Elephas maximus indicus: one gene and its partners. The protein of the gene in region 1 interacts with the protein of each later gene in a pairwise test. Links are inferred from orthologs where the notes say so. Each region holds a gene or a part of one and is shown in the gene's direction. Other genes may lie near its edges.

The links.
Region 2: the proteins of FATE1 (region 1) and AGTRAP interact in binary tests that used the Homo sapiens proteins (3 or more experiments, as listed by UniProt). The two-hybrid records come from large-scale screens. The link is inferred for Elephas maximus indicus from reciprocal best matches to the Homo sapiens genes FATE1 and AGTRAP.
Region 3: the proteins of FATE1 (region 1) and CCDC70 interact in binary tests that used the Homo sapiens proteins (3 or more experiments, as listed by UniProt). The two-hybrid records come from large-scale screens. The link is inferred for Elephas maximus indicus from reciprocal best matches to the Homo sapiens genes FATE1 and CCDC70.

Annotation. Positions count from the first base shown.
Region 1 is NC_064846.1:4,708,297-4,712,046, reverse strand, and holds the start of FATE1 (fetal and adult testis-expressed transcript protein), read left to right. Parts: upstream 1-1,150; coding exon 1,151-1,253; intron 1,254-2,216; coding exon 2,217-2,373; intron 2,374-3,750. UniProt on the Homo sapiens protein: Involved in the regulation of endoplasmic reticulum (ER)-mitochondria coupling. Negatively regulates the ER-mitochondria distance and Ca(2+) transfer from ER to mitochondria possibly implicating it in the regulation of apoptosis.
Region 2 is NC_064821.1:51,597,815-51,601,564, forward strand, and holds the start of AGTRAP (type-1 angiotensin II receptor-associated protein), read left to right. Parts: upstream 1-1,222; 5' UTR 1,223-1,297; coding exon 1,298-1,324; intron 1,325-3,750. UniProt on the Homo sapiens protein: Appears to be a negative regulator of type-1 angiotensin II receptor-mediated signaling by regulating receptor internalization as well as mechanism of receptor desensitization such as phosphorylation.
Region 3 is NC_064832.1:25,625,968-25,629,717, reverse strand, and holds the start of CCDC70 (coiled-coil domain-containing protein 70), read left to right. Parts: upstream 1-849; 5' UTR 850-1,095; intron 1,096-3,750.

The DNA of each region.
Region 1 (3,750 bases):
TTCTTCCTTGGAGCCGCTGGTGGGTTCAAACCACTGACCCCTCGGTTAGCAGCTGAGCACTTAACCATTGCACCACCAGGGCTCCTTACATATAGCCTAGAACTCTAATTCCATTCGAGGCACCCGCCCTGCAAACACATTGGCACATATGTGCAAGGAGGCCTGTCCAGGAGTGCTCACTGCTACATTGTTTAGAAAAGACACCGGATCCAAAAGCTCAAAGTGTATGAACAATACACAGACGTGAAGCTGGGCTATCTTGAAAGAACTGAGATTGATCTGCTCTGACGTGGGGAGATCCCCAAGGCCCTCTGTTCGCTTAAAAAGTAAGTGCCAGAAAACCATGTAGCGTATTACCTCATTTGTATGAAAAAAACTGCAAACATATACACACACATAAGCCAGATGTGCTCTGGGCCCCCTTCTCCTCTCCAGGGTCAACTGTCTGGTCTCTGGGAGGGGAAGAGCTTCAGGCCTCCTGGCCTCCCATTGGGATCTTGGGTCTGAAGCCCACCACTCACACATGGCCACTGGCCAACCTCCTGCATGCAGGAGCCGTGTTGCTAGAGGCAGGTCCCTCCTGGCCTGCCTTTCCCTCCCTTGGTTCTCATGGTTCCTGCCCAGGTGGACCCAGGTCAGAGAAAGGCTGCCTCCCCTGCATAGGCACCCTGGGTACGGAGGCAGGGTGTGCTCTGCTGAGAGTTCCTTCTTGGATGGGGGTGGGAGACTGGATGAAGCCACCACTGGCCTGGGAGCTAGCCCTGCTTTGGCTGCTGCCTGACTTTGGGGCCTTGCCCCTATTCCTGCCTCTCCCTAACCATGATGGAGGGTGGACTCCCCCCCCCCCGCCACGTCCCCAGTGGGCCATGGCAGGAGACCCAGGAGTCAGAGCAGTTCCCACAGGCAGAGAAGTCTTATCTCTTCTCCTGAGTTGCTTACAGAGTAGCAGGGGAGAAGGCTTCGAACACAGCCAAGAAGATACAGCAGGAACAGAAGGTGCTGGGCCCAAGGCCTGAGCCCAGAAAGGGAGTCTGGCTCCACCCCCAGGCCTGGGTATATCTTTCTGGGGCTCCCACCCTTCAAAGAGGTGGATTTCCAAGTGCCTCTCTGGGCCCTGCACCTTGCACGTCCTTGGCCATAGCTGATTGGGATGGCAGGAGGCCCCCTTAGCCTCAAGGAAGAGATGGAAGCGTCCTTGGCAGAAGAGCGGTGTCCTGGAGACAAAGGGCCAAGCCAGGAGCAGCTGATGACAGGTGAGGATGCCCTAAAACGTCCCTTCCCTGAGGTGGTTGGCACCTGGGCATGTGTGTGTTGGAGGAGGTGTACACGTGCCTGGGTGGACACTCATGTGTGTGCATATATGTGTTTGTACTTGTGTGAGGGAATGTATGTGTGTGTGCCTTGGTGTGCATATATTTATGTGCTGAGGGGACAGGGGTTCATGATATGAGCATTTTGCAGCTTACGCATTATGTCACTGAACCCAGAGCAACCCATGAGGGAGGAGGGTGGGGGCCACATGTGTGTGCCCTTTGTCTCTCCCTTGTCCAAGCCACCACTGCAGTGATTGCAAAACATTCAGAAGACTCGAGTCACAAGACCGCACAGACCAGTTCTCTCTCCCACTCCTCTAGTGCCTTGCCTGACCTTGGTCTACACGACACCAGGGTCCCTCCTCAGTGCCTCAGGCTGTGGTGTATACACACAACAGCGGCCTCTCCACTCTGCATTAATGCTTGTCCTTATCACACCCTGAGCTTGTGCCTCCCTCACAGCAGTACAGCAATACCAAATCCCTGTATACTTGCTATTTCTTCTATCTGGGATGTTCTTTCCCTAGATTCCTAAAAGTAGTCCTTTCCTTCCATCATGTTGCCATTTTCATCATTTTTGGTGCCTCTATCTCTTTATTTTGAACTTACATTAATTATTTTCTGTTTTGCACAACCACTCCTCTTTAAACACTCACAGACAGTCAATTCCTTGATTGCTGGGGTCTTATCTCTTAGTCATTGCTCTCTCTCCGGTACTGGGCCTTCAGTAAATACTTGATGAGCTTTTGAACTGAGAGCTGGGGTCACTCGCTGGACAGGGGTGAATGGCGCAGTTTGATCCTCAAGAGGTTTGGGGGCCCTGTTCTCTTCGTGGTGTGTCCTTTGCCTAGGAAGCCCTGGTACAAACTCCATGGCTATTCCTGGGGCCTCTGTTCTTCCTAGAAATGATGGATCGTGGGTTCCGGTCCCTGGGTGCTGGCTCCCAGCGGCGACAGAAGTTGGAGTCAAAGGCTGCTGGCTCGACTGGAGTCTCACCAGCTTGGAATACGAATGCTCCCCGACCCAAGAAAGCGGTACTGTATGGGACCTTTGGCACTCGGTGACAGAGTTGGGATTGGGTAGACTGGCTGTAGGGGCTACAGTCGACCATGCTAGGTGGACCAAGGCCAGATGTTGAGGTGGGGGTAGGAGGAAGCTTCTGTGTGCCAGGCAGGAAACTGAGGGTTGGGAGGACCTGCAGGAGGCTCAGGGTCGTCCTTTGGTAAGCTGAAGTTCAACCCTTGGGAGTCTAGAATGCCTGAAACATATATTGCTTGGGGAGTACATATAACTTTACTCTGTATAACTATAGAATGTGTGAAATGGCACTTTATTTTATTTAAAAAACCAAAAAAAAAAAAAAAAAAAAAAAGCCCCAAATCTGAACTATCAATCTTTCAGGGCCAGGACTAGGGTGAGGCAAGTGAGGCTTCTATGCTTCCTGGCCATTAGGAAATCCAATCACGTGAGTCACAAAAATCTGTTGCCAGTCTTTTAAGCTACATTCAATGTGGGTGAGGGAACATTCTAGAAAAAATGGCAGTTACACTGTTGCAAAGGATACTGGGAAAAGGCAATCATTTTTAGAGGAAAGGAGACCGGACCGTTCTAGGGAATTAGTTACAGTAAATGATGAAATGTTCCCACCCCCAATGGAAAAAAAGAAAAAGGTCTCCCAAGTCAGAGACAGCTTGTGAATGAAAATAAGCCAGAAATATTGAACTGGCTTCCCGTGTCCAAAGCCAAATCAAGTTGCTCCTGCAGGACAGGCTCCAGGATGCGACCCGTGCCCCTGAGACTGAGGGAGATGTCACCACTGGGTTAATGAAATTTAGCTATTAGGACTAGAGGAGTGCAGTTTTAAAAATTACAGACATCATATTGAATTTAGAAATGAAGTATGCTACTTGATTTATTAATTTTACCTATCTATCTGAAAATAAAAGAATTAACGAAACTGTTCGTGCCTCTGGGAAAACCATAGCATTTGAAGACAAATAATAATAATACTATCCTGTGAGTTAAAAAAAAAAAATAGCATGCCTTCAAAAGTACATAGAAATAAAAACAATTGATGGAAGGAAGCTGGGACTTAGCACAGTTCATAGATTTTCTTAATGCTGATCCTGTTAACATAAAAGTTTTATGCTTTACAGTGTATGCAATGCCAAGTAGAGAGTATCTAAAATTAAAAATCAAAAAGGCAACAACTCTTCATGAACGGTGGGGCCTTCCTTATCATGGGCAATGGGAAGAAAGGGCATCATCAATCTGGAGATGTGGTTACGGCAATTCTCATTATCTTGATATGTTAATAACAAACCAGGCTACCTCAAAAGAAAAACAAACAAACAAACAAACAAACAAACAACAAAACCGGCCACTAGTCACTCATCTTTCTTTTGCCTTCAAATCTCTCAATTTTTTTTTTTTCTTT
Region 2 (3,750 bases), on another chromosome or scaffold:
TGACAATGCAAGCAGTGTAGCTCAAGGTTAAACGTGCAGGTTCTGAAGCCAGACCTCCGGGGTTCCCAACCCACTTGTAGTACTAGCCAGTGAAGTGACTTTTGGCAAGCCACATAATATCTCTTAACTCCAATTTCCTAACTGTAAATAAGAATAGTACCTACACCATGAGGTTGTTGCAAGCATTTACTATGAAGTGCTTTTCACAGCCCTGGTTAAGAGCTTGGCTGCTAACCAGAAGGTCAGCAGCTTGAATCCACCAGCTGCTCCTTGGAAACCCTCTGGGGCAGTTCTACCCTGTCCTGTAGGGTCTCTATGAGTCAGAAGGTTTTTTTTTTTTTACAACAAAATAAGTACTTAATAAATGTCAGCTCTAATCACATAAATTGTTTGTTTTGCATTCTCTCCTTATGAGATGATCATTGCTCACGGTCTTATTACACACTAACAGGCTCAGATTAAACATGTGTGTCATTAGAACTGTATCGCATAGAGTTTTTAAAAGTAGATCACCAGGCCTGTCGTCCGAGGTGCCTCTGGGTGGATTTGAACAGCTGACCTTTCGGTTAGTAGCTCGGTGCTTAACTATTTGCACCACCCAGGGAGCTGTGTGTACTGCCCATTTACTAAGTGCCAGGCACTCTTCTGGGCACTTTACATTGGCACTCACACCAAAAACCAAACCCACTGCCTTTGGGTCGATTCCGACTCATAGCGACCCTACAGGACAGAGTAGAACTGCCCCATAAGGTTTCCAAGGAGCTGTTGGTGGATTTGAACTGAGGCCTTTTGGTTGGCAACCGAGCTCTTAACCACCGCACCACCAGGGCTCCTCAAAGCTAGCAGGTATTGTAAATGTCTCCATTTTAACACCGGGAAAGAGGAAGTTGAGAGGGTGCCCCAGGGACTGAGACACCAGCTGTCGCTACATCCACAGTTTGCACTTGGAAGTCCCCCCAGGTTCTCGTGACTGCAGGTGGTCTCATCAGCCCAGGTGTCACCACCTGCTGGCATATTAGCCAGGCAGGACATCGCTCCCTTTGCTCAAGAAACCCCGATATTCTGCCTGCGGGCCCCCAGGAACTGCCTGGGCAGTCCAGGAGCCAGGAGGCTACAAGACAACCGGAACAGACCGACGCCGTCTCCTAGCAACCGGGCCGCGCTCACGTGGTCCGGGAGCGCGGATAGGGTTGGAGTTGCTACAACGGGCGGGGCGGGGCCGGGCAAGTTTGTTTCCAGACTTCGGAGCCGAAGAGCTCCTACCGCTGCAACGCAGGTGCACTGGGCCTGGGTCAGGATGGAGCTGCCCGCCGTGAACCTGAAGGTACGACGGGCGGGACGGGGCGGAGGTGGCCACGCCGCGGGCAGGCGGGGCGGCGGGTATCTGGGAGTGTGTTGGGTGTTTGCTTTCTATAAAGGATTTTAAAGGCGGGAGGACGGAGAGTTTGGCAGGGAGAAAGGGGAGGAGGGAACGGACACCACCCCAGGTGAGAAGGAGGTGGGGAAGGTAGGCCTCAGCGGGGAGGAGGGATCCAGAAAAAAGCGAGCAGGGAGGATCCAGAGGGGGGACTGGAGGCTGACCAGGGTCGGAAGGGCCGCCTGGTCCCGGAGCCGGCCTCCTCCAGCTGGGAGCTCCGCCCCGGAGGATTGCAGGGCCTACACGCTCAGAATTCCTGTGGGGAGGGAGGCAGGCGCGGGGGGAGGGGCCCACTGAGCGCCTGCGGCAGGGGCTTGAGGTTGGGCCACATCTCCCCCAAGGAGACGCTGAGACCACACTTTTCACTTGGGCCCCCAGTTGGGTCCTGCTAGCCTCCTTTATTCACTCAGTGAGGTTAAGAAAAGGCCCCTGGGTGGAGCAAATGGTTTGCCCTGACTGTGAACCTAAAGGTGGGCGGCTTAAACTGGATTACCAGCAGCACCGCAAAAGAAGGGCCTGGCGATCTACTTCTGTAAAGATTGCAGCCAAGAAAACCTTATGGAGCAGTTCTACTCTGTAACACATGGGGTCGCCCGCCATGAGTCAGAATCAACTGGAAGGCAACAGGTTTGGTTTTCGTTTTGGAGATTTAAGAAAATCAGATGTTGCCAGAAAGTGGTTTTCAGAATTATTAAGTCTAGCTTTCTTATTTCAAGCGAGCAGAAAAACCCCACATTGTGCACTTTGGAAGACACTGTGGGGCTTCCTGGGATGTCTTCATTTCCTGTCCTGTGTCTTCGGCGTTGTCACGATGCCAGCGGCTGTTCTTCTTTTTCTCCCCGCCCACCTCCAGCCTTCGTCTAGGTTCTGCCTGCAGACAGAGGGGCTGGGCCCTTAGCTTTGGTCTGGAAGGCTGAACCTTGGACCAAACCCGCCCATTTAAGGTCTTGGTGCAGCCTCCTTTGGGACCATATCCAGGAATGCCCTTTTACTCAGGAGTGACAAACCATTTAGCACCCCGTGGTGTGGTGCCTGGTGCAAGAAGAACCCAGGGGTGGCTGATTCCAAAACGACTCATAATCTATGTTTCGATTAGACATGCCTGTGCTGTGATTTCACCTGGGTGCAGATTTTCTTTTCAATCAGCAGATGGGAGGAGAGATCCCTGGAACAAGGGGTCGGACTTGGGTTTAAAGTTTAGCTGGGAAGAAATTCACATGAGGCCATCTGAGGTTTGTTGGTATCAGTACCCAAGTCTTTTGAGCACCTATGCTATTCCAGGTGGGTTGGGTTTAATGTAGAAGGTATACACCTGCTGACTGCCTTTCCTCTGATTAGAGATTTGCACAAACTAATTGCTAAAAATGGGAGAATCGGGTGAGGGACAGTGCTGCAGGAACTGAAAAGAAAGAAGAGAGCTCTCATTTATGGAGTATCTGTGGTGTGCCGGGATTAATTATTTAATCACAACAACCTCCCGAGCAAACTTTTGACAGATGAGCAAACTTTGGCTCAGAGAGGGTAAGTAACTTGACCCCAGAAGCCACCCTCTGCAGTGGGATGCAGAACATTTTGTTAATAAACTTTGTTATGCCCAGTGACCTAGATGTCCCCCGAAACCATTGTCCCCAGACCCCAGCCCCTGCTACTTGGTCCCTCGAAGTGTTTGGTTGTATTCAGGAAACTTCTTAGCTTTTGGCTTAGTCCAGTTGTGCTAACTTCCCCTGTGTGGTGTGTTTTTCCTTTCCTTCACCTGAGATCATTCTTGTCTACTATCTAGTTAGTGAATACCCATCTCCTTCCCTCCCCACCCTCGTAACCATCAAAGAATGTTTTCTTCTGTGTTGAAACCTTTTTTTGAGTTCTTATGATAGTGGTCTCGATACAATATTTGTCCTTTTGCGACTAAGTTCACTCAGCGTGAGGCCTTCCAGATTCATCCGTGTTGTGAGATGTTTCGTGAATTCATCATTGTTCTTTATTGTTGCGTAGTAGTCTGTTTTGTGAATGTACCATAATTTATTTATTTGTCTGTTGATGGACACCTAGGTTGTTTCTATCTTTTTGTTATTGTGAACAGTGCAGCAATGAACATGAGTGTGCATATATCTACTCATGTGATGGCTCTTATTTCTCTGGGATATATTCCAAGGAGTGGGATTGCTGGGTCATATGGTACTTCTATTTCTAGCTTTTTAAGGAAGTGCCAAATCTATTTCCAAAGTGGCTGTACCACTTTACATTCCCACCAGCAGTGTATAAGTGTTCTAGTCTCTCCACAACCTCTCCAACATTTATTATTTTGTGTTTTTTGGATTAATGCTAGCCTTGTT
Region 3 (3,750 bases), on another chromosome or scaffold:
CCTGACCTTCCCCCTAAAACCCTCCCGCTAGCTCTTTAGGGTTAGACAGAATTTGGGAGAAATTTAACCCCCTCTGTCTCTTGTACACTGGTGTCCAATAAAGCCCTCTTGCTGCTTACCTTCTCCTGTCTCAGTATTGGCTTTGCGTCAGGCAGCTCGAATCTGCAATATGAGGTAACACCACTGTGTTAATCCACCTCGTTGAGGGTCTTCCTCTTTTCCAGTGACCCTGTACTTTATCAAGCATGATGTCTTTCTCCAGAGAATGGTCCCTCCTGACAACATGTCTACCAACAATAGAACGGATAAACTGTGACATCTCATACAGTGGAATTATAAATGTTAATGAAAATGAATGACTGCTACATGCAATGACATGAATGATCTTATAAATATACTAATGCACACACACACACACACAAATCCAGAGACAAAAAACATATCCTGTGTGATTCCATTTATATAAGAATAAAAAACCTGCCAAATCTAGTTTATGGTAATACAAAGAAGTGGATACTTCAAGGGTACCTTCATTACTCTAATCACAGAATTTTGGTAAATACTTTCTGAATTAAGTTGGTGGCACAGGGTCATTTTCAGTAAGCTCAGGAGAGATGAACTGGGAGGAGGGTACACAGAGAGGTTATCTCTTGCCCTGCTCCTCCCCCACTATTCCTGTCCAGTTTTTTTCTTTCCTCTGAAAAGCAGGGTGATTTATAAAGCATCTGCCACTGTCAAACCCCCACTGAAACCTGATTTCCCAGAAGCATTCTTCTGGAATGAACCCAAGCAGCGCGTGAGGTAACAATCCCCTGCCACTCATCCACACTGCTAGTCTTCTGTGAAGTCAAAGATGGAAGATGGCAGAGTCTTTCAAACCTTTCACGTTCTCTCTCTTCTCACTGAAGCCTCTTACCCTGGGTCCCAGCTTGGCCCTACCCACCTTGTGAGTCAGGACTGAGAGGGAACAGAGGGGTCATCGCAAGCAGTATTGGGGTGAGCCCATGAAGATGACATCGCCAGGGATCTGATGTGACAATGACTGCCTGCCCTCTGAAGGCTACAGGGCTTGCCCAGTTGGGAAACAGCTAAGTGGTAAGTAACTGTCGGCTTTAGATTTGATAGTATTGGTTCTAAGCATAGGGTTAGATATAACGTTCCCTGAAAAAAATTTCTTAGCCTTGAAGTATAATGATGGTGAGAGACACATTTCTTTGATTTACAGTTTTATATCTACATAGATACACATCTGCAGTTTTACACTGTACTTTACGTCTAATTTGGAGCCTTGGTGGCGAAGTGGTTAAGAGCTCTGGCTGCTGACCAAAAGGTCAGCAGTTCAAATCCACCAGCCGCTTCTTGGAAATCCTATGGGGCAGTCCTACTCTGTCCTACAGGGTCACTATGAGTCAAAATCAACTTGACAGCAATGAGTTTGGTTTTTGTTTTTTGGGTTATGTCTAAATTAATATATAAACCCATTGCCATTGAGTCAATATCAACTCATAGTGACCTTATAGCCATATACTTCATGTTATATTTCATATTTTTGTCAAAGATAATTTAGTTATAACTTCAGAAAAACTTAGAGATGAATATTTTCCAACATACTGAACCCAGGAGCTACCATCCGCTTAGCAAACAGTTACCAAACACCTACCCTGTGCTAGGTGCTAGACCTAGGAATGGGAAACAAGGTGCTCCTAGTGGGACAGGAGAGGCATTAACTCAGCATAAGCAGACCAGGGGTGTCAGGAGAAGCTTCCTAGAGAGGTGACTTAGTTTCTTAGTGCTGCTATGACGTAAATACTGTGACCCTAATACTCCCCAGCATGTTTTCTCTGTTTCAAAACGGGAAACTGAGAGCTTCACATAACTAACGCCCTGATGAACCTGTAAGGTTTTCTCCTTCCTCTGCTTGCCTTCTCCTTTCCACGTACCTCTGTTAATGACTTTGTTTCAATCTGATGCAAATAACTTTGTTATTTATTTTGATCTGATGCTAATAACTTTGTTTTGTTCTGTCCAACCACCTGTGACTTACAACCCCCCACAGGGAAATCAGAGCCCAGATGTCTGACATGTATATCTTTAGCCTGATAAGGAGATGCCCAGCATGTATCTCTTTAGTTTGAAAAAGAATCTCTTGTCATTATCTTGTAATGAATAACTCCTCCTGCCACGCCATCTGCAGGCTACAAAGGTATTTCTAACCCTAGTAAAAATCATGTGTAAGCTCTGATGTAAAATTGCCCTTTGGGTCTCCATAGAGACAGCTTGCATTACTGTCAGATTCCTGTTGGTGGCCACCTCCTAAATAAAGTTTCTCACTCTTTCTGACTTAGAGTACATTTCATTGGCTCTACTCCTCCAGGGCACAGACCCTAATCAGGCAACAATACCACAAATGGGTGGCTTAATGAACATAAACTTATTTTCTCATAGTGTAGGAGGCTAGATGTCCAAATTCTGGGCACTGGCTCTGGGGGAAGTCTTTCTGTTGGCCCTGGGGGACGGTCCTTATCTCTTTTCAACTTCTGTTCCTTGGTTCCTTGGTGAGCTTCGTGTGGAGTGTACGTGCCCTCCATTTGTGCTTCCTCCTCTGTGCCTAATCTACTCTTTTATATCTCAAAGGCGATTGTCTTAGGACACACCCTATGCTGATACGGTCTTATTAACATAACAAAGAAAGTCCTATTCCCAAATGGAATTACATCCATACATACAGAGGTTTAGGAATTGCAACACATATTTTTGGGGGGAACACAATTCAATCCACAACAGGAGGTGACTTCGAGGATTTAGCTAGGTGAAATGGAGTTAGGTAAGGCCTTCCAGAGAGAGAGAACAACAGGGGAAACAGCATGGAAGTGTGGGAGAACTTGGCAGTTTGAGGAGTTTCTAGATGGCCAAAGTATAGTTGTCAGAGGAGAGGGCTGAGAGAATCTAGAATCACATGTAGGCGAAGATTATGATAGTCCTTGTTTATCACCCTATCATACCCATACCATACTCACTGCCGTCGAGTTGGTTCAGACTCATAGTGATCCTATAGGACAGAGCAGAACCACCCCATACAGTTTCCAAGGAGTGCCTGGTAGATTTGAACTGCTGATCTTTTGGTTAGCAGCCGTAGCTCTTAACCACTATGCCACCAGGGTTTCCCATATCACCCTATGCAGATAGAAAATACACAAAATAGTCATTATAATTATTCTTATTTCCTACATTTATTGAGTACTTGTCATGTCCCAGGCACTGTTCTAGGCACTCAACATCCCCAATTCATTCCTCACCAGAAACCTATGCGTATAAAATATAGTCCATGGTGAAACAAGCCCACAAAGAGTCTGAGAAAGAGCAGTCAGGGAGGTAGAAGGAGAACAGGCTGGCCTGGGGCCACAGAAGTCAAGGGGGAAGAGTTTCCAAAAGGAGTAGCATCGAATGCTGCTGAGAGGTCAATGAGCATGATGACTAAACAATTAGATTTTGTTGTTGCTGTTAGGTGCCGTCAAGTCGGTTCTGATTCATAGCGACCCTGTGTACAGCAGAAGGAAACACTGCCCCATCCTGCCCAGTCCTCATAATTGTTACGCTTGAGCCAATTGTTGCAGCCACGGTGTCAATCCATCTAACTGAGGGTCTTCCTCTTTTTCACTAACCCTCTATTTACCAAGCGTGATGTCCTCCAGGGATTGGTCCCTCCTGACAACAAGTCCAAAGTATGTGAGACGTAGTCTCTCCATCCTT